4 linked regions of the Pelodiscus sinensis genome follow. The protein of the gene in region 1 interacts with the protein of each later gene in a biochemical or structural test. Links are inferred from orthologs where the notes say so. Each region holds a gene or a part of one and is shown in the gene's direction. Other genes may lie near its edges. The genes, in order: ITCH, SH3GL2, SMAD3 and ERBB4.

Region 1 (7,869 bases):
TGGCCTTGCAAGTCCTCTAGCCCACACTCTCCCCAGTTAGTCAGTTACTGTACTGTTTAACAAGTGTCTTTGGGAATTCTCCCAAAGTGACCCTTATCATAGAATACTCTACCTGAACTAATCAGGCAAGACCAGCAGACTTATGCAACTTAATGCAACTTTGTACCTTCACATTCCAGCACAAGACTCATGTCCCCCATGGAGATTGTGAGAGATTATCAGACTGATTCAGGATAGACTGAGGAGCAGACAGACACATCTCACAGACCCATCAGTTCTATCTATTATCAAGGTTGTCTAACACTGTCCATTATAAGACTTTTTCAGTAGCTTAAAATTGTGTATGAGGGGCATGAGTTGGGGCAGGAAACTGGAACAGAGGGGGAAAGGAACAGGAGCCAAGTGAGATGAATAAAGGCCAGGGTTGGGGGCAGGGATAATCGTCATGAAGAGATGGAGAGGATCAGATGAGGTGTGGGGCAGAAGCCATTGGACTGTGGATAGAAGTAGAGGGGCACTAGGACAAACATGGACAGGAACAGAAAGGCCTATAGACATTTTAGAGCAGCTAAAACTGAACTCAGGATTTCTATGCCTCACTATTCTTGTACTCTGTGGCAAATAGCTGTGATGCTCATTGGCAAAGGGTATCATCCTGCTCTAGTGGCTGACCACATATAGGATAACAACCTACTACTGCTATCAGCTATTCCATTGGTTCAAATGGCCAAGGTCTGTACTGTGAATCTAAAGATCCCAACATTGCTGGTGACTATGAAGTTCAATTAAGTTCTACATCGTGAATTTTGTGTGGTTTTTTTTTTTTTTAGTTTGCTTATATAAACATTCGGAAACTTACATTTAAAAATGTTAAAAGAACATTATGGTTGCAAATATAAGCACTCAACACGAACATGCCAAAATTAAGGTTACCCTGTCAACCCTAATATGGCTTCCTTGTGATTCATTCATAACTAACTAGATTTTAAAAGCTGGAAGGGACCATTAGATCATCTAGGACTAGGCTGACTTCTTGTATAACATAGACCATAGAATTTCCCCATTTATCTCTATACTGAGGACAATAACTTATTTGACTAAAGCACATTGTGCATGATGTACATTACAAGGACCATGTTGTGGATTATAATAGACTTTAATTACCCAGCCATACACTATTAGACTGGATTGGGCTCTGAGAGTGAATCGGTGTTGTGCAGGGGGCCGGGGGAACAGTAATATCAAAAGGATGATTGCATGATGAAGGCAATTAAATGCCACCCTCAAGAACTATCATAGAGTTCCTATGTGTGGCTAGGGAAATCACTTAAACCAGAATCTGCACCAGTGGTCTCTAATTGTGTGTGTGTCGTTTTCTGGATGCCTGCGTTGAGACATCTGGGGCATCTAACATTAGGGGGACACATTTGCCCTTATTCTCTGTGCCTCATCGGTAAATGGTGATACTAATGCCACCACAGCCCATGAAGACAAATTCATTGGGGTGTGTGGTACTCAGATATTATAATGAGAACTGTACAGAAACACTCTCTGTCCTCTGGGCAGGGTTTGGATGTGGTGCAGTAAATAAGGTAGCTGTGCAATATTTCCTTTTATCCAGTAGATGCACACTGAATAATGAGGATAACAGGAAATACCAAATAGCTGCCCATTCACTGTGCACCAACCTTTTCACTGAATTAAGCAGGGGTCCCCTGGGAATGCTAGCATCTGATCAGCTAATTAAAGAATGTATTATTATGCCTACACACAAAGAAGCCACACTAGTGTAGCACAAGCACCTTAATTCAGGCATTTCCTAACTTTTAAGTGTTTGACTTTGCAATCTTAAAGGTCTTTTAATATAATGCTTTTGCATGTAATGTATTATGTGCAGACAACACTGGGCTCACAAAAGTATTTGTGTGTAACAGTTCATATTTCCAACATCCTCCATATGTTGCTTATCTTCTTAAAATTAACATTTCTGGCAGGAAGAAGCCTGTGAGAGTTTGTCCAGCATCCTCACAATGGGGCTCTTTTGGGGTTTCAATAAATATAAATGGACACAATGATCTTTTGGGTTTTTCAGTGTAAATAAGTAACACAGTAGTGCTCAAGTGCCATACAAAATAGTTACTCCTGTTTCTTTTGCTCACATTGATTCTCCTGGAAATGATAATCTCTCATATCACTTGAAGTCTTTGTTAGTACTATTACTGGATGTGAGTGGGAAACCATGCATCTGTCCCCACTAATGACATCTGTATCCTCAGTAGCCGAACAGGATTTCAAATGAGTGTTCCCAAATACCTTCCTTGTAGGACAGCATTATTCCATCTTCATGAACAAGCTGAGGCTTTGTCTACGCTTGAAAGTTTAAAGCACAGCCTTGGCAGTGTGGCCACTTCAGGAGTGCTGGGCAAAAGCTCTCCCAGTGCTCCAGTTCATTTTTCCTCAAAGTGCTTTAAGAAGAAAAAATGAAGCACTCTGGACCCTACCCCGCCACTGCCCCACCCTCTGACTGCCAGGCTTCCCCTGCCTTGCCCCTCCACCAAGCATCCTCTGGCTGCCAGACACCCACCTCCCCCTGCCACTACCCCGCCCAGTGCCCTCTGGCTGCCAGACACCCGCCCCCCCCTGCCACTACCCCGCCCAGTGCCCTCTGGCTGCCAGACACCCACCTCCCCCTGCCACTACCCTGCCCAGTGCCCTCTGGCTGCCAGACACCCGCCCCCCCCCGCCACTACCCCGCCCAGTGCCCTCTGGCTGCCAGACACCCACCTCCCCCTGCCACTACCCCGCCCAGTGCCCTCTGGCTGCCAGACACCCGCCTCCCCCTGCCACTACCCCGCCTAGTGCCCTCTGGCTGCCAGACCTACTTGGTACAGCCCCATCCAACCAGCCCCCTTTTGCCAGACCCCAGTTTTTCTCTAAGGCTGTGTCTACATTGGCAAGATTTTGCACAAAATCTTCCCGCCTGTCTACACTGGCTGCAAGTGTTTGCACAAGAACACTGATGTTGTAATGTACAAAATCAGTGCTTCTTGCGCAAATACTCTGACGCTTCCGCTCAGGGATAAGCCCTTTTGCGCAAGTATTCTTGCGCAAGAGGCCAGTGTAGACAGGCAACGTTAATTTCTTGGGCAAGAAAGCCCGAAGGCTAAAATGGCCATTGGAGCTTTCTTGCGCAAGAGAGCGTCTACACTGGTTTTGCGCAAAAGCACATCTCTTGAGCAAAAGCACATGCCAGTGTAGACGCTCTCTTGCGCAAATACTTTTAACGGAAAAACTCTTCCGTTAAAAGTATTTGCTCAAAATCTTGCCAGTGTAGACGTAGCCAAAGTGCTTTAAGATCATATAATCATAGAACACTAGAACTGGAAGAGACCTCAGGAGGTCATCAATGTGTAAAAGTGCAATGTATTACAGCAGAACCTTGATTTTATGAAGATTTATGTTATAAACAAACAATTATACAAACCATTTTTCCCTGTGAGGGAAAAAAGTCACATAATAAAAGTGAAGTTGATGAAGAAAAAGTCCACAACCTTTCATGTTCTGATGCCATCAGTGCATTGGAATTGCTTGGCAGCGGTCTGAAGGGCATGAAAAAGCAATACTTATGCACAGTACCTACTGTAATTTTGAGATGTGCAGTTTTATGAACTGTTGAACTTTATGAATTCCTTAATCTTCATTAGTTCATAAAAATGCGTCCTAATATACTATTAATGAACAGTCTTGCTGGTGCTTCAGTAGAAGCCCAGGATTGACCAGACTACGGAGACTGAACTATCCTCTCACTCTTAGCTGGTACAGTGGTATAGCAGGCAATGGTTGGAAAGTATGCTTTGTTTCCTCCTTCCATGACAGATCTGTGGATGAAAAGGATTTCAGTGCTGTAAGTGCATTTATACCTAAAGAGGTACACAGATCCATGCAACGCAGAAATCTCTTTTTGAAACTGTACCAGTGTTTATGTTTCTATCTAAGGTGCTTAGTGCTGCTAAATTTTTTATACTGGAGCTGGTTGCAGCAGCCATGTTCCTTTGGGATTTGCCATTCTGATGATGGATTAGGCCTTTAGAGATTAAAAGTGAAACCCTCCACTGCCACTTTTCAAAGAATAACCATATTATACCTTCTCTGTATGAAATAAATTCAAAGCACATCTGAACCCGCACAGAGCACCCCTCTATGGGGAGACTCCACTGCTAGCACAGAGCACCTCCATAATCCCGGTCTGGATGGGTGCCACATTACCTGCACAGAACCCCCTCCAAATTCCTGTCGGGGAGGTGGCCCCTACTCCCAGAGTTGCCCCCAAGGTCTCTGTGAGCAGAGGCTCTCCATAATCCTTGTCTAGGTGAGTTCCCCCTGCCTGCACAAAGTTCTCCCCCAGGATCCCTATGGGGAAGCTCACACAGAGTCCAACAGTCCCTTTCTGTGGGACCCCCACTGCTCACAGAGCCCGCCCCCCCCAGATCCGTCCGGGAACCCACCCCGCGGTTCAGTCTGGTGGTGGCACCTGTAGCCCACTGGGGCTTGCCCTGCAGACCCTTCCCGGCCGCTAGGGGCGGAGCGCGGGGAGCAGCTGACTCGCTCCAGCTCTGGAGGGGGAGGGGCGGGACTGGGGGGAGCAGCAGGGAAGCGCGGGGCTCGGGGCCACTCACGCGGCCAGTCTCCATTCCTGGTGGCCCACCCTCAGCCCCTTCCCCTGCGGGAGCCGCGCCAGCGCCCAGTCCACCGGCTTCCCTCGACCCATCAGCTGACAGTCCGACCCCAGTCCGCCCAGGTAGTGCGCGTGCGTACTCCCAGCGGGGCATTCTGGGAGTTGTAGTTTTCACCCTCCACGCCCTCCGCCATCGCTGACTCTGCGCATGCGTCGTGGCCGTCCGACTTTGGAAAGTCGCTGCCTGAGGTTGGGCTCGGACTGGCTGCCATCTTGGCGGAGGGCTTGAGGCGCTGGCCCCGCCGCCCCGGCCGGTAAGGAGTCCGCCGCGGAGAAGCGGCTGCGCCCGCCCGCTCGCCTCTCGAAGCGCTGCCGCGACTCCGCCGGGGGGGGCTGGGGGAGCCGCTCCCGCCCCGGGGCTCGCAGCGAGCGGGGCGGGGGCGTTTCGGTCCCGGCCCCTGGGGCCCCTGCCCCGCCCCCCGTGGGACCCCCCCCACAGCCCCGCCCAGCGCTGCCAGCCCCCCCCCCGGCACTGCCCCGCCCCGCGCCCCCCCCCCCCCCGGCACTGCCCCGCCCCGCGCCTCCGGCTGCCAGACCCCCCCCCGGCACTGCCCCGCGCCTCCGGCTGCCAGACCCCCCCCCGGCACTGCCCCGCCCCGCCCAGACCCCCCCCCCCGGCACTGCCCCGCCCCGCCCAGACCCCCCCCCCGGCACTGCCCCGCGCCTCCGGCTGCCAGACCCCCCCCCGGCACTGCCCCGTCCCGCCCAGAGCCTCCCCCCCGGCACTGCCCCGCCCCGCCCAGACCCCCCCCCCCCGGCACTGCCCCGCGCCTCCGGCTGCCAGACCCCCCCCGGCACTGCCCCGCCCCGCCCAGAGCCTCCCCCCCGGCACTGCCCCGCGCCGCCCAGAGCCTCCCCCCCGGCACTGCCCCGCGCCTCCGGCTGCCAGACCCCCCCCCCCCGGCACTGCCCCGCCCCGCCCAGAGCCTCCCCCCGGCACTGCCCCGCCCAGAGCCTCCGGCTGCCAGACCCCCCCCCGGCACTGCCCCGCCCAGAGCCTCCCCCCGGCACTGCCCCGCCCCGCCCAGACCCCCCCCCCCCCGGCACTGCCCCGCGCCTCCGGCTGCCAGACCCCCCCCCGGCACTGCCCCGCCCAGAGCCTCCCCCCCGGCACTGCCCCGCCCAGAGCCTCCCCCCCGGCACTGCCCCGCCCAGCGCCTCCGGCTGCCAGACCCCCCCCCGGCACTGCCCCGCCCCGCCCAGACCCCCCCCCCCGGCACTGCCCCGCGCCTCCGGCTGCCAGACCCCCCCCGGCACTGCCCCGCCCCGCCCAGACCCCCCCCCCCGGCACTGCCCCGCCCAGCGCCTCCGGCTGCCAGACCCCCCCCCCCGTCACTGCCCCGCCCAGACCCTCCCCCCCAGCCACTGCCCTGCCCAGCGCCCCCCCCCCCGCCTCCCGTGGGACCCCCGCTCACTGCCCCGCCCAGCGCCTCCGGCTGCCAGACCCCCCCCCCCGCCACTGCCTCGCCCAGACCCTCCCCCCCCCCCGCCACTGCCCTGCCTCCCGTGGGACCCCGCCCAGTGCCTCCGGCTGCCAGACCCCTCTCCCCCCTGCCCCTGCCATGCCCAGTGCCTCCAGCTACCAGACTCCCCCCCAGCCACTGCCCCGCCCAGCAGCTGCCAGACTCTCCCTACTTCCCTGCCCAGTGCCTCTGGATGCCAGACACCCCCCACCACGACTGCCCCGCCCAGTGCCCTCTGTCTGCCAGCTTCTTCCCCTTGCCACTGCCCCACCCTCTGACTGCCAGGCCTCCCCTGCCTTGCCCTTCTGCCAAGCATCCTCTGGCTGCCCCCCCCCCTCCCCCCGGTCACTGCCCCACCCAGTGCTCTTTGGCTTCCAGACCTCCCTGCTACTGCCCCATTCAGCCAGCCCCCTTTGGCCAGACCCTGGTGATCTAATCTCTAGCCAGACCCTACAGCTGACCAGCACACTTTGGCAACCAGATCCAGTGCTCTGACTACAGTCTTCTCACTGTCCAGTCAATCACCAGCCCATTCTGGTTGATAGACTTCATTGACCTGGTTTGTAGCTACTGCGCTCACCCTGAGTTGGGGGTATTCATTAGCGGCTGTCTGATTCTGGATGATTTGCCAGCCCTGGGGTGGTTTGCTGTCTCTTGCTAGGTTCCTCTATCTTGCATGATGCCTGTTTTATTCATACACTCTGCCCCCCAAAATCACCACCAGGTGTTTGGCTTGTGTGAGTTGATAACTCATTCCCCCCAATTTATTCCTCTCAATCCAATAATTGTCTAGCTCAGCCCCTTTCCCAGACTTTGAAATGAACCTCCTTTGACTACTAGTGTCTTCACTCTGTCCTGACGAATCTTGCTGCAGCCATCTCACTAGTGTTTACTTGCTTTGTCCTATAAATAATGCAGTGTCCTAAAATGATGGCCCAGAACACTAAAGCATAAGTGTTTGTAACTGCAATGTGAATGGTTGTTTTGGTACACTATGTATAATCTTTAGTAAATAAAGTCACTCTAGAATGGCAACGTTGGGCCCCTCACTTCTAGTTTTGGAAACATCGATAGGCCTTAGTTATTGATCCTCTAGTATCTAAATGTGTAGGACTGACATTGCGAGACAATAAAATCCAAATTGTAGGTAGAGGAAGATTACAATGATGTGCGAGTTATTTAACTGGGTCTGAAATTTTGGGCCACACCTCTTTCAAGATTTACCTTGTTTTGATAGCTATAATTTATAACAACAGGGAAGGCAGCTCCAGATTTTTGAGAGGCAGCAGTAGAATAGATGTACAGTAAAACTCCATTGGTCTGGCATCTGATGGTCCGGCACCATCAGGAACCCGGAAGTGCTCCAGGCAGCCGGACCATTGGAGCTGCTCTGCCCCCGGCTTCCCCGATTCAGCTGCTGCTGAAACTGACCAGCGGCTGAATTGGAGAAGCCGGGGGCAGAGCAGCTGGAGTGCTGCTGGTAGGTCCCATAGCGCTGCCCCTCGGTGCTGCGGGACCAACCTGGCAGCACCCCAGCTGTCCCCCATTCAGCCACTGCTGAAACTGACCAGCGGGCTGGTCAGTTTCAGCAGCGGCTGACTTGGGGACGCTGGGGGCAGAGCAGCTGGGGTGTTGCTGGGTTGGTTCGGTAGCGTCCTCAGTGCTACTGGA
Region 2 (7,650 bases), on another chromosome or scaffold:
GATGCACACAGAGCAAATGCTTTAGCCAGCATATGGGGAACTTAGCCTTTTGGTTAAATTGGCTGTTATAAAGGCTGGGTTGGCAGAGCCAACATATTGAGAATCATCTCCGTTAATATGCTATTATTATTTATAGATCATTAGAATGGACTGCAAGAGGACATTATATAGATTTTTATCTGGATGTAAGGGTTGTGGCTTTAAACCAGTATCCAGGAAGCCTGCCTGAGATTGTTGTTCTACTTGTCACACTGACATTGTGGAAGGAGATGTTGCTTACTTCCTAAAAATCTCACCTGGCCTTTGCTAACCTCAGGTTTCTGATCTGTTTTCCTGACTGTCCAAAGCAAATCAGGCCTGAAATAAATAATGTACTCAGGCAAGTAGAGGGAATCCAGAAGCTGCTTTCTCATGCTTCTCATTCTATTTTTTCCACTTGTCCCCCAATCAACTTCCCATATTAATGGTGTGTGTGTGTGTCAATGCAGGAAGAAGTGGGAAAGAATGGAAGAGCAGGAGAATGGGGAGCCCTCCAATGGGGAATGGGTCAATTAGCAGTGGGGTGAAGGGAAGGAAATAGGAATTCTTTATCGGGGTGACTAGCATAGGAGAGGGGCTAAGCTAGAAGCCAACTGTCAGAAAGAGCCATTGGAGGTGAATACACTTATGGTAGGGAAAAGAAGAAAGGTGAAAATATTAGAGGGGTGAAAACCCATCCCAGAGGCTGACATCTTAGGAACAAGTTAAGGGACAGGGGACCTACCAGACAGGGAGGCATATTGTATAGGGATAGAGGGAAGGAAGGGAGAGATACCATAACAAGTGCAGTGTGAGAGGACATCACTGAAGAGAAGGAGGAAAATCTCAGGTTAGGAGAAGACAGAAGAAGCAGGAAAGGTCCACAGAGGTGGTTGGGGGAGACAGTTGGGGATAGTAAAATCGACTCTTTTGTATACTGCTTTGAGATGTACTGATGAAAGAAATCAAAGAAGATGAGGTCTACTGATAAGAGGTAGATATTTTTATAAATGAAAATGTTTTATTAAGTGTCCATATCTGTGTGTGCACTTATTTGTTATGTTCTGGGGTCCACACAGACCAGTAAGGGATGTTTAGAGGTTATGGTTCAATTCACTGACACCAGTAGCTTGCCCACAAGCATATAGTCTCAACCTGCTTCCCACCCATCTGCTTACTCTTTGTAGGTGATACTAATAACCTTCCCAGTCCTGGGTCTCCCAAATTCATCCTTTATCACCCTCAACGGTTTGAAACCAGACTGCCACTTACTAGCTCACTTTAGCATATGTGCTCCATGCTGTGCACTGGAGACAGGCACAGTACAAAAATAAACAAGTTATTTATTAGAAAAATCACTAATCCAGAGATAAAATAGTAAGGAAAAGTAAAAAATATACAACCTACACAGAAGACGAAGACATAATTTCAGGTTTTATATTTTCAGATTAGATTAAATCCTTTTTTCTGATTAGTGTTACCCGATCGTGTTAAAACAGTTTCCTAGCATAGCTCCTAGCTATCGAAAGAATCCAGCATTCCTCGAAGGCAGGGCAGAGATGGGGCAATAGTATGTAACAATGATTTAACGTTACCTGAACTTCTGATTTCCTACAATTCTGAATCAAAAGACATTGTAGGTTGAAATTGTACTGTTATATCTGATGAGGACTTATTGAACTAAAATGTAGGTAATATAGTATAGTACTTGTTTTATTACTCTTGTGTAGTCCTGAACAAAACCTCTTATGTTCAATGGGAAATTCCAGTAGGCAAAAGTTTCTGCTCTACTAATGATAATTTCTGAGGGTACATCTCTACTACAGGACAAAGGCGAATTAGGATATCAACTTCAGCTACATTACTTGTGTAGCTGAAGTCAAAACATCTTAACTTGGCTTTTGGTACTGCCTACACTGAAGGAAGTTGAAGGGAGAACACTCTCTTCGACTTCCCTTGCTCCTTGTGAAAGCAGGACTACCAGCATCGGCTGGAGTGCCCCTTGCAGTTCGAATTAGCTGTCTTAACTAGACCGCGAATTCGAACTCTGGAAGATCAACAGCAGCAGCTTCGATCCTCCTCTGTAGTGAAGATGTACCCTGGGAGTACTATACAAGAATCATGCCTACCAAAGGAATGGAATTTTGGATTCTAATATTTTAGCTTGGTTATCTTTATACATATTAATTTTTAAATAATTAAACATGATTTCTTTTCACCATATACTAAAAACAATGGCAGAATATGGGAACCAGTTAGTCATAGAGGTAAAAGGTAGAAAATGTATTAAGTTATCTAATTAATTTCCCTGGCAGTTCAGCAAAACACCAATGGATATATTTTCTAGTGCTTAGTGCAGTGCTGTTTTAAAGTACAAAACCAATGTTTCTTTCCATTTAATTGGGAGAGATTTATTTAAAAAATAGAAAACTTAATTTCTATAAAAATCTGTTATCTGAAGAGAGTTCAAATTGTTCCTCCCACCTTTTACCTTTCATCTTCCTCCAAAGATAGTCTCTGAAGCCTTTTGATCAAATATCTTGATAAAACAAAAAAAAATGTGGAAGTGCTTGCAGGTTGATAGTTCTCAGGTTACCCAAAACTGAGAATCAGCTTGTTAACCCTGCCTTCAGTGAGAGGGAGTCTTTCTTCTGGTTCCCATTTAAGCTCTTTCCACTGGACTTGTACCAGCCCTTCCTTTACCTTGTAGGTTAACAATAGGTGCACTCCAAATCCCTTTCAATTATACCCTTCTGACACTCACAGAATTTTCAAAGCTGCAGTGTACCCCAATTTACCAGCTGTATCATGAACTACTACTTTTATAAGCCACACAAGACTTATGAGCACTTTTAATTAAACAAAACTAGGGATGTTTAAGAAAAAAATTAAAATTTTACTGGAGATGAGAGAGTGATGGAAATGGTTACAATAGGAAACAAAATCATAAATATGAACTGTGGTCTACACTTCTCAATAATTATCTTTCCAACCTAATACAATCGATGCCACCCTCCTGTCTCTGTCATTGTTTAGTCTATTGCAGAGCTGACTGTTTCCCCAGTAAACAGAATCCAAACCATTGATGAAAGCACCTCTTCTGCAAAGGATTTTCCTGAGTGAATGAATCAATAGTGTCTTTTGTTTCTAATCCTGGACAGGGTGAATGTTTGTGGTAATGTTCCGCCAGCAGTCTCAGGCGGTCTTCTCTTTCACTGCCTTACAGTGGCTGCCAGGGCAACTTGCCCATGGGCATCTGGTAGCCTAGGTGGGGGAAGGCTTTGCTGTAGGTGTTCTGGGGGCAGAGTGTTGCTGCCCCCCAGTGCCCACTCTCCCCTGTGCTCCAGCGGCCCGGCAGGCAGGAGCCATGTGGCTCCTTCCTCAGTGCTCCAGGGGTCAGGGAGGTGGAAGCCGCATGGCCTCCTCTGTCCCTGGTGCTCTGAGGACGGGGCAGGGTGTGGGCATGTGCTTGCATGCTCCTCCCCCATTTCTTCCCCTTCTCATGGTGGGGTCAGGGCCTTAGTAGAGGGGATGGCACTGTAGGTGCGGCTGGAGTCCTGCCTCCCCCAGCTGCACTGACCGCCCATGAACCTGCCCTCTACTTTAGGTTCCAGCTCAGGGCCCTCTGTACAGTAGCCAAGGTCCATTCCCTGCCTTTCCCTAAGCTAGTTCCATACCTCCTAACCTTCCCCATTCCTCTGGGCTTGCCACTTTCTTCATTCCCTCCTCCCACAGAAAGCTTTAGGCAACTCATCCCTGCAGGCATCCCCAAACGCACCTCCCTTCTCCCAGGGAGGGTCTACGCCAGTGTTTCTCAAAGTGGGCTATGGGCCTAGGAAAATTAGGTCACCTTCGTTTGTCATCTTTACTATAGACTTAGGTGCCTAACTTCAAGTTTAGAAAAATAGGGGCTAATTCGAACATCATCTGAATTCTGCCTCTGGCATATAATCAGTTAGAGCAGAGTGAGGAACCTTTTTTGGGTCAGGGGCTGCTGACCCACAGAAAAATCAGTTAGGGGCCACACCAAACTTTCACTGATCCCGGGACTGAGAAGGAGAAAGATACTCTCCACATGCCCCTTGCACACCAGAGCCTAGGCCCCCCCTAGTAGATTTTTTTATGCTCCAGCCCCACATGGGGTGAGATTGGTGCAGCCGTGTGGGCTCCGCCATGTTGCGTGGAGAGCCCTGGGCCTTGGGGGCTGGATCCTGGCAAGCAGGGACCACTTCTGACCTCTGGGCCTTAGGTCCCCCACCCTTCAGTTAGAGAAACGTGCTGCAAGAAATTGACTCGATCCCTACAGCCCCGCACGGGTAACAACATTTGTAGCCACATCCCCATCCATTGCCGCAAAAACGAGCCGCAGCTGTCCGGGATCCCCATGGATTTGCAGAGCTCTGTGTGTGAGGTCCCGAGGCCCTGGCACGCGGGTATAGGGGCAGGGTGAGTTCAGGGTGTGGAAAGCTCTACGTGCATGGCAAATAAAAAAGCCAAGGAACAGGTCCGATTGCTTTCATTGGCGCTTATGCAGTTCTGCAGGAGGGAACGCAGGGGCCGTGCAGAATGCAGCGGGCGCCCGGGCCGGACGCTCGCTCCCAGCCCGGGCGGGGCGGCAGGGAGGACACCTGTCTCTTTAAGGGGCTGGGCTCCCTCGCTTTGACGTCAGGGTTTCTGCACCACAGGCTGGCATCTGCGAACCTGCGCGCCGGGGGAAAGAGGCTCGGAGAGCGGCACGCGCGAGAGGAGCCCCGCTTCCCGCCTGCAGCCGCCCCGCGCCGCCCGCTGCCATGTCCGTGGCCGGGTTCAAGAAGCAGTTCCACAAGGCCACCCAGGTACGGGCGCGGCGCCATGTCTCGGGGCGCCCCGCTACCCCCCCTGCAGGCGCGGGGCAGGATCCCGGGGGTGCCTGGACGCGGGGGCCGGGGGCTGATGCCGTGACCGCTCCTGGAGCTCTGCGGGCGGACCCGGGGGGGGGGGGGGAGTGTGTGTGTGTGGGGGGAGGGGTCCTGGCTTGCATTGCCTCAGGGAAGTTGTGGGGTCGGAGGGGGAGCCAGGGAAGGAGCCAGTCCCCCCCACTCCTATGCTGCCTCCTCCCACCCCTCCCCAACTCCAGCTGATCTGCAGTCTCAAGGGACCCGGGAGTGTGTGTGTGGTGGGGGGGGGGGGTTGCAGGAGCGGTGGGGCTGGTGCCCCTCCGGGTCGCTGGACGGGTCTGCAGCAGGTACCGTATCCCCGGGGAAGGAGGCGGCGCGCGCAGCGGGGCGCTGGGTCCCTCGCCGCAGCCCTGCCTGGCCGCCGCAGCTGCATTATTTAGCGAGCGGAGTCCAGGCTCGGATGGCAGCCGGCTCCGCTGCGGGTCCCGCACTGCAGGCGCCTCTGTCCTCTTGCGCCCGCAGAGCCGTTCGCAATTGAATTACTAGATCCGCTCTGCCCGCCCCTCCTCCCCCAGGACGGGGACAGCAGAGCAGAGCAGAGCGCTTCGGGGCATTTGCCACAACTGCGCGGGGTGTGATTTTTTTCTCTGTGAAACCTGCGGCTAGTTGTGTGGCTGTCTGTGAGATTATGTAAAGTCCTCCTCCTCCTGTGACCTTGTACCATGAGTGCTCTCTGAAATCTCCATCCTTTGAGCAGTTGCACAGTGGGTCTGAACTGCCATGGTTGGGTTTTTCTCTCTCCCCTTAGCAGAAAACAACCCTCCCAAGGGATCATCTGTGTTGGTTTCTCACTTGTTATTTAGGTGCATAGCCCTGCTCAGACCTCGAGCAGTTTTATCAACAGTGAAACTAATTTAAGCAGGCATGTGCTTGATCTTTGTATCCAGAAGTGGGCTTTGCACTAATTTAAGAATTAATTTTGTTGAGTTTCAGATGTTTCATACATTCTGGCTTAAAAATCTGGCCTTAGAAAAGGGACTTCTTACACTGCACATCCTACAATCCTGGATTTCATTTGGATTTCTTCTAGTTGTTTTTGTAAATCGCCAGTAAACAGTAGTATTCAGATCACGGCCCATATGTTGGCTAGTGATGGGGTGAGGGAATCTTGCTGCTGTAGGTATTCTACATTATTTTAGAGCAATCAGGATGAAAGTTTCACCAGATGCAAATTTATTTTTAAAAATAACTTAAAATAATACTTCAAATGCAATCTGTGGTTAAATTTTAATAATAACATTGATGGAAATCCACTGAAGTCAGTGGAGTTACTGTGCATATTACATTGTCAAGACTGACATTAAAATTAGACTCTCTTCAATTCACATAGAAAATGAGATGGAGTGTCCTCAGGGTAGAGCGTAAAACCATTGTAAATAGTCTTCAAAAGGAGGCTTGCGAAATTCAGCACGGTATAACACCTTTGGGGAATCTGTACCTTCTCCTTTTCTCATCTCATGTCCTTTTAGGTTTCTACGAAAACCGTGCCTGCTTTTTGATCGAATGGAACAACAATTTCTTAACTTCATGCAATAGAAGACTCACTCAAATTCTGGTTCTAATAGTGAATTCCTTCAAACAAACAAATGGCATTATGACTATGAATATAATGGTGCATATTGGGACCTTTATCAACAGTGGTGCATGGAGCAACACATTGCATGTTGTCATTCATATCATACTGTGCTACTGTATCATTTGCTAATTCAGACTAAATGATCAAAGTGGTCCCTTCTAGCCTTTGAATCTAGGAATGCCTACTCACAAGTGACCTGTTTTCTTACAGTTGGACTCCCAAACCCTACAGGGAACATTTTAAAACTTTGGAATTTGGGACAGTGAGGGGGTGCAAACAGATGTGGGGCAGGATGCTGCTCAGCACCCCCACTTAAAATTGTTACAGCGCCACTCCGCTGTTACTTGAACAGTTTGTTTTCTCTTGAAAACACAATTGGATTCTAAATGTGTCAGGCTGTTGCATGGACCAAATAATTTTATTTCCTATATTTTAACTGGGTCTTATTGTAAAAAACTAATATGGAATACATAGAGGTGTTGGGATGTCATAACCTGGACCACAGCAATTATGCAAATTTTGCTTGAGAAATGAAATGTTTGAGATAGTCACCAGCAAGACAACATTTCATTTGTTAATATACTCCAATTCTTGAAAACCTGTTCATATGCCATTAAGTTGAAAAGTAATTTTCTAGGCTTACTGTGTCTTTCAGTCCAGAAAAAAATCTACAGTGTTTAATTGCGCTTGTATACTTCCACCACTGAAGCTGTTATGCTCATTCATAACATTATTCCCTGTGTGTATGTCTCTCTGGCTAACATGCACATACATAATATTTGACTATAAGCACAATAATATTTTCCTATTACAAAATATAAAGCTTTTTGGCATTTCTATAATCATATTAATTTAATTTTCTTCCATACAAAAGGAATTTATTGTACCTAATGTAATTTCAAATCACATTAATTACGTTTCTATGTTTATTTTATCCAATATCAATACTGTATTTGTTTTCTATTTTAAAAAGTAAACAGTTAAAAACAAAACAAGGCAGTCCACAGAATTTTACACACTATGTATAAGGTATTTATTGGAATAAATGTTGCAGTCTCCTTTACATGGAAGCTCTTGCAACAAGAGCAGCAGTATTAGCCAATGAAAAGCAAGGGCAAA
Region 3 (6,971 bases), on another chromosome or scaffold:
TTCAGCACCTCTGCACTTGAGTTGTCTTACGCTGGTCAGCCAAAAACTTAGGTCACTCAAAATCAGGACTACTTTCTAAGATGTTGTCTCTTCAGCCCTGGAATGCCCCCTTCCTGCTGATGTCTCACCCACTGTTAGCTACTCCACCACTTTGTGTTAGGACCCACATCTCTCCCACACAGCATCATCCTCGCCTCTGTGTACTGCCCTTCCATGGTACCCTCACACTCGGAGGTCCCAGGGAACCACCCCAATTCTCTATACCCACCTTGCCTGATAGTAGGAGTGGACTTGCTGCCTTGTTCTATCCTGGCTGCCTCCCTAATTGCCTCAGGCCTTAGAGCAAGGCCTCACCCTGGGAGTTTGCCTGGCCAGAGCTCCCCAGCCCTGCCTGCCTGCACCTCTAGCTTCTCTGACAGTTTGGTCCCACTAACTGCACAGCTGGAGCAAGAGTGAATAAATGCCCCCTGCTTCCAGGAGTCCTTATTTATACAGCCCCAGGTGGGCTCTAATTGGCTGTATCTTCATCAGCTGCTTACTCCACAGTCCCAGCCCTCTCCCAGGACTGGATTTAACCTTTCTTTAGCCTGTGTGGGGCAGATGCCCCCTCACACAGACTAGCAAAGTGAGTGGCAAGGTGGGCAACTGGAATACCAAATTAGCTAACTACATTGAGGCAAAACTACATTGTCACCTGGACTTCTTGTAAAAAATTTTTTTTTTTTATAGTGAAGACATAGCTTCTTTAGGGGCCTATCTCTGGCATGCAGCCCTACAGATTTCAGTGCCTGTATCTGTCCGCTTGGTCATGAAGGACTGTGTCATTTGTATTTCTTTTTGCAACATGAGTATCAATGACATTTCATCCCTCCACGTCATTCATGGTGCAGACTTTTAACAGTTTTACCTAACACTTCACACTCAGACAATCCCAGCAGTAGAGAACAAAGCCCAGCACTGGAAGGTGGGTGTGGTAGGAATCCTTACTGGAAAGAGTTTCAATGCGCACAAAACAGATATCAGACAGTATCACAAAGAAAAAACAGTTTCTTGCCATTTCAACCAGAAAGGACATTGTCTCAATGACTTGTATACCTGCATCCTGATTCAAAGACATTTTAACACAAGACTTGAAAGAGAAACCTCTGAACTGTCATTCATGCTTAAATTTGACACTTTACGCCTGGGTCTCAACAAAGATGCTAATTACCTTACCCATTACAAACACAGCTTCCCCAATTATCACCTCTAATATAATTAGCTCACAGACATTAACCTCCCCTCCCCAACCCCCTCTGTTCTGAAATTTGATTTGTCCTTTTTATATGTGTTTGCTTTTTTTGATTATAGCCCTTTGGTATATATGGTCATGACAATTTTCTTCCACAATTTGATCTGAGGAAGTGGGTCTGGCCCACGAAAGCTAATAAACCATCTTGTTAGTCTTTAAAGTGCTACATAGTCCTGTTTTTTGTTTCAGCTAGACTAGACTAACATGGCTACATCTCTATTACTATTCTGCCTTTTTAGGGGGTGGTTAATGGGTATGAAGTCCCCCTTTGCTCTCTGAGGGAAATACGAGCAGGTAAGGAGAGGAAGATCAAGTGTTACACTTTCTAGAGTGGGTGGTGGGGCACAGATGAGAGGGCATCCACCCATCTGCTGTAAAGTTGAGAGGTGATTACATACAGGCTGTGTCTAGACTGGCAAGTTCTAGATTGGCATGGACACTTTTCTGCAAAAAGTGCTTTTGCGGAAAACAGTCCATGCCAATCTAGACTCTCTTTTCCACAAATGCTTTTAACAGAAAACCTTTCCGTTAAAAGCATTTGCGGAAAATCATGCCAGTCTAGACACAGCCACACAGTACAAAACAGGAAGTGGCTGTCTAGAAAGAAGTACTGCAGAAAGGGATCTAGGGGATCATAGTGGATCACAAGGTAAACATGAATGAGTGGTGTGACACTTGCAAAAAAAAAAAAGCAAACATGATTCTGGGATGCATTAACAAGAGCATTGTGAACAAGATACAAGAAGTAATTCTTCCACTCTATTCTGTACTGACTAGGCCTCTTCTGGAGTGTTTGTGTCCAGTTCTGGGCACCACATTTCAAGAAAGATGTGGAGAACTTGGAGAGGGTCTAGAGAAGAACAACAAAAATGATGCAAGGTCTAGAAAACATGACCTGTGAGGGAAGACTGCAAGAATTAGGTTTGTTTAGTTTAGAAAAGAGAAGACTGAGAAGGGACATGATAGCAGTTTTCAAGTACCTAAAAGGGTGTTACAAAGGAGGAGGGGGAAATATTCTCCTTAACCTCTGATGACAGCACAAGAAGCAATGGGCTTAAATTATAGCAAAGGAGTTTTAGATTGGACATTAGCAGGGCTCGACAAACTATAGAATCTACTCGCCCATGGTGACTAGATTTCAGCTGCATGCCCCATTTACCGGCGATGTGCGTATGCGCAATGCGGCTCTTGACCATGCACAGTGTGGGGCTGGCAAGCGGCTTTCGCCACCGTTTGTCAAGCCCTGGACATTAGGAAAAACTTCCTGTCAGGATGGATAAGTACCGGAATAAACTGCCTCTGGAGGTTGTGGAATCTCCGTCATTGGAGGTATTTAAGAGCAGATTACATAAACATCTGGCAGGAATGACCTGTCCTAGATGATGCTTGGACCTGCTGTGAGGGCAGGAGCCTGGACTTGACCTGTTGAGGTCCCTTCCAGTCCTAGTATCCTATGGTTAGGTGAGAGGAGGTCTCCCTACACAATGTGTGTGTTGGGGGTAACTGACAAGAAATCCTGCTTCCAGGTATTTGGATTTATTGTGTTTTTTTCTGGGTGGCGGAGGTGGGGGGGGGGGGGGAAGGTCCATTGGTTGCCAAGTCCCTGGGCATTGAGATTAATGGAGAAGACCCTCCCCTTCCAGTCTCTGGGCTCAATGTGTGTATGGGGATGTCACGGACAGCAGCGCCCCCTACTCCCAGGGCTCGTGTATATGTTGGGGAGCCCCCATACTCTATGGGTTCCTTGTGTATATGAGGGGTGGGGGAGAGACACCTGTATTCCCAGGGCTCCTTGTGTACGTGGAGGGTCACCAAGCAGAGCCCCCTCCCTTGGCTCACTATTACTATGAAGGGGTCACTGAGGGGACCCCTCCTGCCCGGGCTCGCTGTGCATATATGGGGATCACTGAGGGAAGCCCCCATGTACTCCCAGGGCTTCTTGTGTATAGGGGGAGTCACTGAAGGGAGCCCCCCAGAGTCCTAGGGCTTCTGTATGTGGCCGTCCACCCCCTTCCCCAGGGCTCGCTGTGGGTATGAAGGGGTCACTGTGGAAAGTCTCCCCCCCACTCCAAAGAATTGTGTACACGGGGGGGGGTCTCTCAGAGGAGCTCTCCACAGTCCCAGGACTCCTCGTGTATGTGGGTCACCCCCCTTCCCCGGGGTTCCCTGTGGGTGTGAAGGGGTGACTGAGGGAAGCCCCCCCACTCCAAAGAATTGTGTACATGGGGGGGGGTCTCTCAGAGGAGCTCGCCACAGTCCCAGGACTCCTCGTGTATGTGGGTCACCCCCCTTCCCCAGGGCTCGCTGTGGGTGTGAAGGGGTCACTGAGGGAAGCCCCCCCCCCCCACTCCAAAGAATTGTGTACATGGGGGGGGGTCTCTCAGAGGAGCTCGCCACAGTCCCGGGACTCCTCGTGTACGTGGGTCACCCCCCTCCCCCAGGGCTCGCTGTGGGTGTGAAGGGGTCACTGAGGGAAGCCCCCCCCACTCCAAAGAATTGTGCACGCGGGGCCTGAGGGGACTCTGGGCGGGCAGGGGGTGGGGCCGGGCGCTGGCCGCCCGTTGCTCCCCCCCCCGCCCGCTGGCGGCGCGAGCCAGTAGCGCGCTTGGGCGGGCTGGCGGGAGGCGGGGGTGGGCGCCGAGCCGGGGCTGCCGGGCGGCGATTTGCATGCGAGGCAGACTGGGAACGAGCCGGGGCGGCCGCCTGTCGGCGCGCGCAGAGCGGGGGCCGGCGGAGGGGCGGGCGGGCCAAGTCGGGGCGAAGTTTGCCGGGGCTGCGAGCGACGCCAGGCGCCAGCCCCGCTGCCCTCGGCCCGGGAGGGGCCGCGCCGCCGAGCCGAGCGGGGACGCGGGCGGGCTGCGAGCCGGCCGCCGAGCCAGCATGTCCTCCATCCTGCCCTTCACTCCCCCCATCGTCAAGCGGCTGCTGGGCTGGAAGAAGGGGGAGCAGAACGGGCAGGAGGAGAAGTGGTGCGAGAAGGCGGTGAAGAGCCTGGTGAAGAAGCTGAAGAAGACGGGGCAGCTGGACGAGCTGGAGAAGGCGATCACCACGCAGAGCATCAACACCAAGTGCATCACCATCCCCAGGTAGGGGCGGGGGGGGGCGCCTCTCTGGGCTCCCACCCACAGGCTAAATCGGGGGGGGGGACACGGAGGCTTGCACCCTTGCGGAGATGCTCCCCCCCCAGATCGATGTGCATGTGCACAGGAGCCCGGGGGGGGCGCACAGGGAGACGTGTCCAGGCAGTGGGGATGAGCCCCTTCCTGCACGCCTGGGGTCCCATGCAGAGACACCTGTGCACCCTGAGAGGGGGCAGGCACAGGTCAGGCACATGCATCTGACGAAGTGGGTCTTTGCCCACGAAAGCTTATGCTCCTACACTTCAGTTAGTCTATAAGGTGCCACAGGACTCCTCGCCGCATGGGCCATACGTTCACCTAGAGCCCGCGGGGGAGACCGGTGAAGTCATTCACTTGCAGAGGTAAGGACTGGACGTCCACAAGAGACACGCGTCAACAGAGGGACGCCCATGAATAAAGACGCACAGACCTGCAAGCACACGGAGATGTGAAGACCCATATATATACCCATTGGAACATGCCTGACTGACACACATGTACCTGTAAATAGACGCAGGCAGATGTGTGCCCCCACACACGTTTGTGTGCGTATTATAGACATTAAGCATACACATGGGGACTCGGAAAAGCCATAACCATTAAAGGCTTGTGTTAGAGGAATTTTGCTTTTCTCTCTGGCCAGCTCTAATAGATGTTGGGTTTTGTATTCCTTTTTAAAAAAACTATTCCAGAATACTTTGGTTACTTGAAATTAAGAGGTCACGGAATTGAATTAAATCTATGAATAGAGGAGACAGAAATTAAGACAGGAACGCAAGACGGGAAATGTTTTCAGCTAAGATTTGAAAAAAGATGGATTAGTTCTACTCATGGGTGATACTCTGTTTTGTAGCCAGAGGTTTCACTCTTTTCTGTTACTGTTTAAATTAGTATCTCTGATTTCCTTTCTGAATCAGATAAATTAGTTTGCTTGTGTGTCTTGGTCTGTTCTGTCAGACATTTTCCTGAAGAAGTGATTTAGGGCCCTTGGATTTACGTTTCCAGAGTAGGTCGTTATACTTTCAAAAAACCCACCCAAAGCACACAACCAAGGAATGCAATTTGCATAGCTAAATTGGATTGCTGTTTAGGAGAGGCATCATATACATAAAATAACTGATTTTTTTCCACATACTTTAATCCTTTATGCAGTATTTTAATGCTTGACTCAGTACTATTGCACACAGGATTCATCATAAGGCACAGGAGAGGACAAGTATCTAAATGATTACATATTTTAGATTATCTTTGAGGAAATCAAATCACTGTGAACATTTTATTGCTGAAATTACGTTGATTTCTGTATGCTCATTCAGATATTTGGCATTTTAATTTATTTTATGGAATAATACAGCATTGCTTTTTTAACATGCTAAAGTTCATTGAGAACAGTTCAATGTGGTATAATGGTAGGCTTCTGTGTATTGATACGGTCTTTCATGTGTGTATGTACCGGTAAATTCTTGGTTGTCACAATGACTTAATATTCAGTACCTAGTGGTCACAAAGCTTATCTGTTTTATGAACCACAGATACAAACAGTTTTCAAATGTTATGAAGAGTTGAAACTCTTTTTTCAAAATGAATACCTTCAACAAATACAATTTTAATAGACTGTTCAATATACCCTGGCTCTTCTCTACCAAATGACAACAGGTCAGAGTTTAGTGTAAATTCAGAATGACTCCACTGAAGTCAGTGAAACCATCCTGGATTCTCACTTGAGTTAAAACTGAGATCAGAATCTTGATTTGGCTGTTCTTAAGCTTATGTTTGGAAACTCATCATAATCAGCTAAAGCTCTTTCTTGGAGTATTTGCTTACCTTAACCCAAAAACTCCTGCGACTGATGATACTTGCTATGTCTTTTGCTTTTCTGGTTTTAGTAAGAACTGACCAGTGTAGAATTGGAAGGGGAATCACCGGCATTTGCCATTTTTAGCATTAATGTTTGCCCTTTATGGGTGTTGTTGCTAATAATCATAATCATAATAATAAAGAATACAGAAAAAAAACAATTAGGTTAGCCTGTCTTGGCACTGTACAGACACCTAATAAGAGACAGTCCCTGCCTGGAAGTGGTTACAACAATGTAAATAATCAAGTGGTGAAGGGGAAATAGCTTTATAGAGTGGTGAAACTACTCTCCTTCTGAAGTTGCACAGAAGGTAACTATGTAGTGGTGTTGTAGCTGTGTTGGTCTCAAGATACTGGAGAGACAAGGTGAGGGCATATTTTTTTATTGGAGTAACTTCTGCTGGTGAGGTGGACAAGCTTTCAAGTTTACACAGAGCTCTTTTTCAGGTCTGGGAAACAAACTCAAAATGTCACTGCTAAATATAAGGTCAGTATCAGAACTAGAATTATAATCCAAGTATTCTGTCCAATGCCTTAACCACTGGACCACACTGCCAGTACTAAAATATCATTGTATCAGACTGTCAGGGCATTATTCTAATTCTCAGAAGGCTGCTTCTCTGACTATTTTCATTTTATAAATTTTGGACATTATTTCCCTAGTTTGTAACACAAATATTTTGGGAACAAAAGGCCAAACTGTT
Region 4 (6,825 bases), on another chromosome or scaffold:
CGCTGAGTCCCAGATGGATAAGGGTGGGTGCTGTATGCCCCAAACCCATAGGAGGAAAAGGGTAGAAGGTGTCTGAATTAACCAGTTTGCACCTTAAGCCCTTGGTGTGGTAAAAGACAGAGTACCCTAAATTGGGCAGGTAACAGCCTGAAAAAATTGCCTGGGAATGTTGGAGTCTGTGTACTGATTAGGGATATAAAGAACTAACCAGTTACCCAGTAAGCATCCATGGGGAACTGATTATCCTGCAGCGGACTGCTGCGGCCAGGCCCAGTTCCCCCAGTCCGTGGTGCGGCAGGCTCAGTTAACCAGGTAAACATTATGAACAGTATAGAAAAGCTAATACTAAAGTCCATGAAATACTGGACATATAATACATTTGAACTTGTTCCCACTGAAGTGGAAGTCAATGAAAAAAATATCATTGAGCAGGATTGGACTTTGTCTGAACAGGCAGCAATGTCCTTCATACACCCATGCACTTGCTGTAGCAATTTGTTTGCAAACAGTCTGGATTTAGGGACTGTTAAATGTTGGCTGCTTTGTTCTATATTAGGTAGTTTAATACCAAGCAACAGTCGCCAGAAAACAGATTCTGTTCCCTAGGATGGATACAAGAGGAATCAGACAGATTTTAATTAGAGATGTAGTGAGCTGCTCAAAACAATTTACAGAGGTATGTTAGCATTTGCTGTTTTGCTCTGCTGGATACATTTCTGGGCTACAGCTAGTCAGTAACTGTAATCCACTCCAAATACACATTCTGTTCTATTTTAGGTTCTTGTACTTCTCCCCTTGCAGGGGTACAGGAAGCTAGGCAGTGTCACGTAGGATCAGACCCGGGGGCCAACTACCCCAGTATCTTGACCTTGGTTGGTAACCATACCAGAGTGCCACTTTACATGTCCGTGCACATGCTGCTTATTTCTACCCTTACACATTTTGACCATGTTACTAGAATAACACAATGTGACATAAACATGTGCTCAGAGACAGTCTGACAAGCACTGGTCATCTAGCTAAAGTAAAGTAACTATCAGCCTGACCATTCAATCACTACAACCTTTTCTTCATGTTGAGATAGGATACAATACCCTACTCCCTCCTGTTCTCCAATGCCCAGTACAGTTCTCAGTCCAATCTTTCCTCCTAACTCATAACATTCCTGGCCTGATAAGCATGAGTGCTGGACACCCATACCTCCCTTCAAGTCAGGTACTGCAGCAAGCTTTTGGCATTACTTGAGCTCAGGCTGGGGCTGCAAGTAATGTAAATATTTTACAGGTACTCTCCTACTGAAACCCCCTTTACCCTTGGAGGTGCTGCGATAGGACAGTACCTGTAAGAAATGTTAAGTGTGGGATGGAGTGCAGGGGGTTGAAGGAAGCTGAGGGCGGGAGTGTGCGTGTGTGTGTGCGTGTGTGTGTGTGCGCGCGCGCAGGAATCAGGAAAGAGAGCTGGGAGGGGTTGGGGGCTCAGGGCAGGGGTGGTAGGTGCAGGAGTGAAGGTAGGGGTGAGATGGGAGCTCAGGGCAGGTGTGGGTGCAGAAGTCAGAGGAGAGAGTTTCAGGGGGAGGGGTTCAGGGCAGGTGTGTTTGTGGGTGCAAGACTGAGGAGACAGAGTGGGGGGCTCTGGGCTTGGAGTGCAGCCACTGCACGGCCCAGCTATGGGATCCCCAGGGCTGGCAGGGGCTATGTTGTCTTACTGCCCAAGCACTTTCACCACTGGCTCAGGCCAGAAAACGCGTTGCCTCTTCCCCCTAGCAATTACCCTGCTGCTGCTGAAGACAACATTGGAAGGCCACAGTAGAGAGAACACATGTGTTCTGTTTTGGCTGGGACAGTCCACTTTTGAAAGCTTGTCTCAGCCATCCTGTTCTGGCAAAATTGGGCATTCGCCCAGTTAGCTCTTGCCAACTGACATATCCAGTTTTGCCAAAAAAAGTGGGACTCGACCCCTGGTATGGCGTGGAGGAACATGGTGGGGAGGACTGGCAGGAACACCAGCCTTCCAGGGGAGGAAGGAAGACAGACAACAGCTCGGGCCGGGCCGGGCCAGGCCAACTAAGCAGAGGATCTTGTGGAAAGCCCCCATGCAGGAGGCCTCAGGCTGGTCCCACATGTGGCACGGGAAGGCAGCCGGCTGGTGCCTTGGGCAGGCCTGACTCCATGCAATGTAAAGATTTTAGGGCAGATACCAAAAGTCCTAGCAAGGAGATTGCCTGACCTACAGAGGGTTCATAAATGTGCAAGGAGGAGACCAGAGCTAATGGAATAGCTGTGGCTGGAGAGGACCCTCTGCAGGATATCAGGGAAGGGGAGGCAGTTGATGGGCCATCAGAAGTTTTATTTCTAGGTGGGAAGGGCTGTTGAAAGTCAAAGAGGGGAAGACTCCAAAGCTTCAATAAGCTACAGAAACTGAGGGACTGGGTCTAGACTGGCAAGTTTTTCTGCAAAAGCAGCTGCTTTTGCGGAAAAACTTGCCAGCTGTCTACACTGGCTGCTTGAATTTCCGCAAGAACACTGACGATCTAATGTAAGAAATCAGAGCTTCTTGCGGAAATACTGTGCTGCTCCCATTCGGGCAAAAGTCCTTTTGTGCAAAAGCTTTCGTGCAAAAGGGCGAGTGTAGACAGCTCAGCTTTGTTTTGCGCAAAAAAGCCTCGATGGTGAAAATTGCAATCAGGGCTTTTTTGCGCAAAAGCGCGTCTAGATTGGACACGGATGCTTTTGCGGAAAAGTGCTTTTGCGGAAAAGCGTCCGTGCCAATCTAGATGCTCTTTTCCACAAATGCTTTTAACGGAAAACTTTTCCGTTAAAAGCATTTGCGGAAAATCATGCCAGTCTATACGTCGCCAGGCTGTTCCCAGCAAGCCGCCTGCTCTTTGGAACAGCTCCTCTCAAGGATAAACCTCAGGGGTACAGATACTCTAGATTACTTTAATTAGCCTCCACTGGCAGCAGCCTCAGTCCAGAATAGCTCCTGCCTTGCTGCTTTAGTAACAAAAGCAAAGCAAAACACCCTTCGGATTATTTTGGGAGCAATCCCATATGTCGAACTGAGTCATAGGCGCGGCAGACACGGCTCTTGTTTAAATGATGCCACCTGAAAGGGAACCCAGCCACCTGCAGCCTCTCTGAGCTGCCCCCGCCCCGGGCAATCAGCAGCCAGAGTGAGAAGCTGCGTGTGGACAGTCTGCTCCCTTGCAGAGCGCGCGCGGGTGTGTGTGTGTGAGGGAGATCAGGAGCGAACCCTTCACGCTCCTCGCCGCCTGCCACAGCAGGGGCTGCCCGGAAAACGCTGCAAAGCGGACCCAGCTGCGTTTGGGAAAAGCCTCCGCAAGCTGCGGGATTGCCAGCGGTCCAGCCTGTCTGCGGCGATGCAGCTGGGTGCGTGTGTGTGGACAACCCCCCTAGATCCAATGCAAGGGGGGGGGGTGCCTGCTTGGAAAAGGCAGCGTGCCTGTGTCCCCCACCCCTTCCCGCGCTCAGCCAGGTGCAACCGCTGATTGCAAAGGAGGGGAAAGCAACCCCCAGCCGCGCTTGCACGGAGCAGGAAGAAACAAGGGCAGCACAGCACCCCCCAGCCGCGGGACACCCCCCGCAGCGAGCCCATGGGCAGGCCACTGCAAAGCCGCGTCTCCGGGGCACGGCGGGCGCCCAGTGCATATCACCCCCTTACGGCTAACCCGGGGCAGGGCTCGCGCCGCCCGCCAAGCGCGCGTGACAGGTGTTCCCGGGCCGCGCGTGGGGGGAGTGAGCCGGGCCCCGCCGGCGGCGGGCGGGGCGGGGCTTGTGCCCAGAGGGGGCGGGGCCTCGGCGGTGTGTGTGTCTCGCTCCAGCCTGCCCCGCCGCTCGGTGCGGGATTATTTGGGGGGGCGGCGGCGGCGCGCAGCAGCCGGGGAGCGGAGGCGAGGGGGGCTCCCGGGCGGCAGCCCTGCAGCGCCGGGACCCGCGAGCGGAGCAGAAGCAGCAGGAGCAGCAAGGGGAGGGGCACCGCCAACCAACCCCCCCTGAAAAAAGAAAGTGGAGCCGGGGGAGCCACTTGTTGCGGGCCGAGTGGGGAAGAAGCCGCCGGTGCCCCGCGCCCGGCCGCGGGGGGAGCTGCCCGTGGGGACCATGTGAGCGCGCCGCCCGACCCTCCGCCAGCCATGAAGCCGCCGGCCGCTGGGCTCCTGTGCTGGCTCGGCTGCCTGCTGGTCTCCGGCGCCCTGCAGCCCGGCGCGGCGCAGGCAGGTGGGTGGCCGCGACGCCGAGCCGGTTTGACGACCCCCCCCTTGAAGTGTGACCCTGCGCGGGGGGGGCCTTGCTGGGGCAGCCGGGGTCCAGCTGCGGCCGCTCCGGGGGGGACGCTGCGGTGCCGCGGGCCGGGACGGCTCCTCTAGGAGCTGGCGGCTTGACGGGCGCTTCGCTGCCCCACCTGCGTGCGGCCCCGGGCGCCCTGCGCAGCGCTGGCGGGAGGGGGTCTGGCCTCCCCGGCATGCAGGGCTCCTAGGTTAACCTCCCCCTTCTGCGTTAGGCGCTCCCCTGGCAGGCTGCTGTGGAGCCAGGCACAGCCCCCCCCCCCCCCCCCGTAACACTCCCGTTGCGTGGCTCCCGGAGGACTTTGTGGAGTTGTTGAGCTGCTCTTGGCCCCGGTCCCGGGATGAACTCGGCACGCGGGCAGCGGGGAACAACCCAGCCCGGCATCTTGGTGCAAGGGTTGGCGGCATCTTCACCCCCCCCCCCCCCCCCGACGCGTGTGACCCCGGGAATCGGCTGCCCCGCTCAGACTTTGAGCCGAGTCAAAACGCTCGGGCTTTAAGCCCATCCTCTAGGGTGCCCCCCCCCGGTGAACGCGGGGCGAGGTGGGCTGGACGGGTCCGTGTCGCTCTCCTCCCGTGCAGCCTGCCAGACGCGGCTGGGTTCCCCTGCGTTTGTGCGCGCACCGTGCTGCGGGCACGCATCGGCTGGCTGCGGGGTCGGACCCGCGGCGTGCGAGCCTGGGGTGCCCTTCGAGCCCCTGCAGACCCCCTTCCACCTGGCGGTGCATGCGCCCCCCCCCCCCCTTCCAAAGCAGCGTGCGCTTGGCCGGGCGGAATATCTGTGGGGCAACCTACAGCGTTTTCCCTCTGCTTTCAACCGCGCTCCTTGGGGGGGACTCTCCTTTGCAAGCCCCTCTCGGGATTCCCCGGCACGGAATATCCCCCCAGATTAGTCCCGCGGCGCCGCCGCCTCCTCCCGTAGGGTCCCCGTCGCGCGCGAATCCGTCCGAGTCAGTGGGATGTGATGAGTGTATGTTGGACAAGGCTGGTGTCACAAAAGCCAAGCTCGGGTTTTTCAGACACCAGGCGAGCCAGGATGCGCGAGGAGGGGCGAGGAAAGCTAGTTCGTGGATTTCTTTGACTCGAAAGACGGTTGCGGCTGAGAAATTGCAACAATTCTGCGTGCAGGGAGGGGTGGGGAAAGAGATCCCCTTAATTTCGGTCTAACTACCAAAGCCAATGATTTGTCTGTTCGTTTTTGTGTGCTCTCCCCAAGTATATCCGTATTGAGCGTTCCCCCGTCAGTAGCAGTTTGGAGGAGTTTGTTTTGGTCCAAATGAGAAATTAAGTGCGGATAAGTAAACTAAGCTGCCAGAGGGCGACAAGATGTTGTGTGAATTGCTTTTAGATGAAACAAATTAAGGAAACGAGGGAGACAATCTGCTTCTCGCATTATTAGACACGCTTGGAGTTCAGGGGAAAGTGGCATATTTTTGAAATGCTAATGTCTTAAGAAGCAGAAGGAATGCACCTTATTTACTGGTTTATGTGAATAGAATAGAAATATTGATTTCTCCCCCCTCCCCAGTACAAATCATTAGACGTGTGGTTCTGTCTCTTCAAAGAAACCTGTAGGAAGTCTTGTTTCAATTTTTCCCCTTTAAAATTGCAGGGGTGCATCTATGAGTCAACTTGTAAGATATTTAAAAGGGGTGTCCCGTAGCATCCCTAGAGACGATACATTATACTACCGTTTACGTTTCCGATGTCAGTGTTATATCCCCCAGCAGAACAATTCCTGGGAAGTAACTCTGTATTGGTGTTCATGTGTGATTTACAAGAAAGTGTTAGTATATCGTTCATTTATTCTGCAAAAGGGAAACATAAACACACTCCTAGACAGAAGCAAGCAGCGGTTCCAAGTCCACAAAGTGTGTTACGCTGTTTAACCTGGGTCTGTCCCGAGGCATATAAATAAGGGTTTCCCCATATATTTTTCAATGTTTCCAATTATTGCCAGGTAAACCTACATAGTTGGATTCCTGTTTAACCAATTTATTAAAAAATGTAATGACCTTGAAAGATGAAAACAAAAGCCTTAAATGTACATTTTTCCTTCACGGTGACTACATGTTTATGAAAAATACACAGTGCAAAATTTCCTTAAACTCCTTTCATAGTGCTTGAGGTTTTCTTGTGTTCAGAAAGATGTTGATTTGCTCAGATTTTAACGTGGGTTTGGATTGGTCTCACTGAACAGATTACTACTGCTTAGATATATTGTAAAATTTTGCATTTGTGTATAGACCTGATGATAGAAACACAATGAGATTTTGTTGGCTATATTTTTTTAGGGGACAGTTGTTTTAAGTTAGACATTAAAAAGAGGGCGTATAAAATTGCTCACATTTCCTTCTTGTTTTAAATAATGGGGAGATGAAGAAGTTTGACCAATCACTGGTGCATTCACACATTCTTGACATGGTCTGTGTTCCTATTTTTAAGTAGCTGAGATCAGAGCTATGTTGAGAGAGAACTGATATATTATCTGACACTTAGGAAAACGCTTTTATAATGACGTA

Evidence for each region.
Region 2: the proteins of ITCH (region 1) and SH3GL2 form a complex in vitro, tested with the Homo sapiens proteins (2 studies listed by BioGRID, with this or other methods). The link is inferred for Pelodiscus sinensis from reciprocal best matches to the Homo sapiens genes ITCH and SH3GL2.
Region 3: the proteins of ITCH (region 1) and SMAD3 form a complex in vitro, tested with the Homo sapiens proteins (2 studies listed by BioGRID and IntAct, with this or other methods). The link is inferred for Pelodiscus sinensis from reciprocal best matches to the Homo sapiens genes ITCH and SMAD3.
Region 4: the proteins of ITCH (region 1) and ERBB4 form a complex in vitro, tested with the Homo sapiens proteins (2 studies listed by BioGRID, with this or other methods). The link is inferred for Pelodiscus sinensis from reciprocal best matches to the Homo sapiens genes ITCH and ERBB4.

What each region holds. Positions count from the first base shown.
Region 1 is NC_134728.1:35,531,448-35,539,316, forward strand, and holds the start of ITCH (E3 ubiquitin-protein ligase Itchy homolog), read left to right. Parts: upstream 1-4,860; 5' UTR 4,861-4,989; intron 4,990-7,869. UniProt on the Homo sapiens protein: Acts as an Acts as an E3 ubiquitin-protein ligase which accepts ubiquitin from an E2 ubiquitin-conjugating enzyme in the form of a thioester and then directly transfers the ubiquitin to targeted substrates.
Region 2 is NC_134716.1:20,842,908-20,850,557, reverse strand, and holds the start of SH3GL2 (endophilin-A1), read left to right. Parts: upstream 1-4,648; 5' UTR 4,649-4,808; coding exon 4,809-4,853; intron 4,854-7,650. UniProt on the Homo sapiens protein: Implicated in synaptic vesicle endocytosis. May recruit other proteins to membranes with high curvature. Required for BDNF-dependent dendrite outgrowth.
Region 3 is NC_134724.1:3,775,144-3,782,114, reverse strand, and holds the start of SMAD3 (mothers against decapentaplegic homolog 3), read left to right. Parts: upstream 1-3,965; 5' UTR 3,966-4,171; coding exon 4,172-4,377; intron 4,378-6,971. UniProt on the Homo sapiens protein: Receptor-regulated SMAD (R-SMAD) that is an intracellular signal transducer and transcriptional modulator activated by TGF-beta (transforming growth factor) and activin type 1 receptor kinases.
Region 4 is NC_134717.1:59,548,276-59,555,100, reverse strand, and holds the start of ERBB4 (receptor tyrosine-protein kinase erbB-4), read left to right. Parts: upstream 1-3,804; 5' UTR 3,805-4,150; coding exon 4,151-4,235; intron 4,236-6,825. UniProt on the Homo sapiens protein: Tyrosine-protein kinase that plays an essential role as cell surface receptor for neuregulins and EGF family members and regulates development of the heart, the central nervous system and the mammary gland, gene transcription, cell proliferation, differentiation, migration and apoptosis.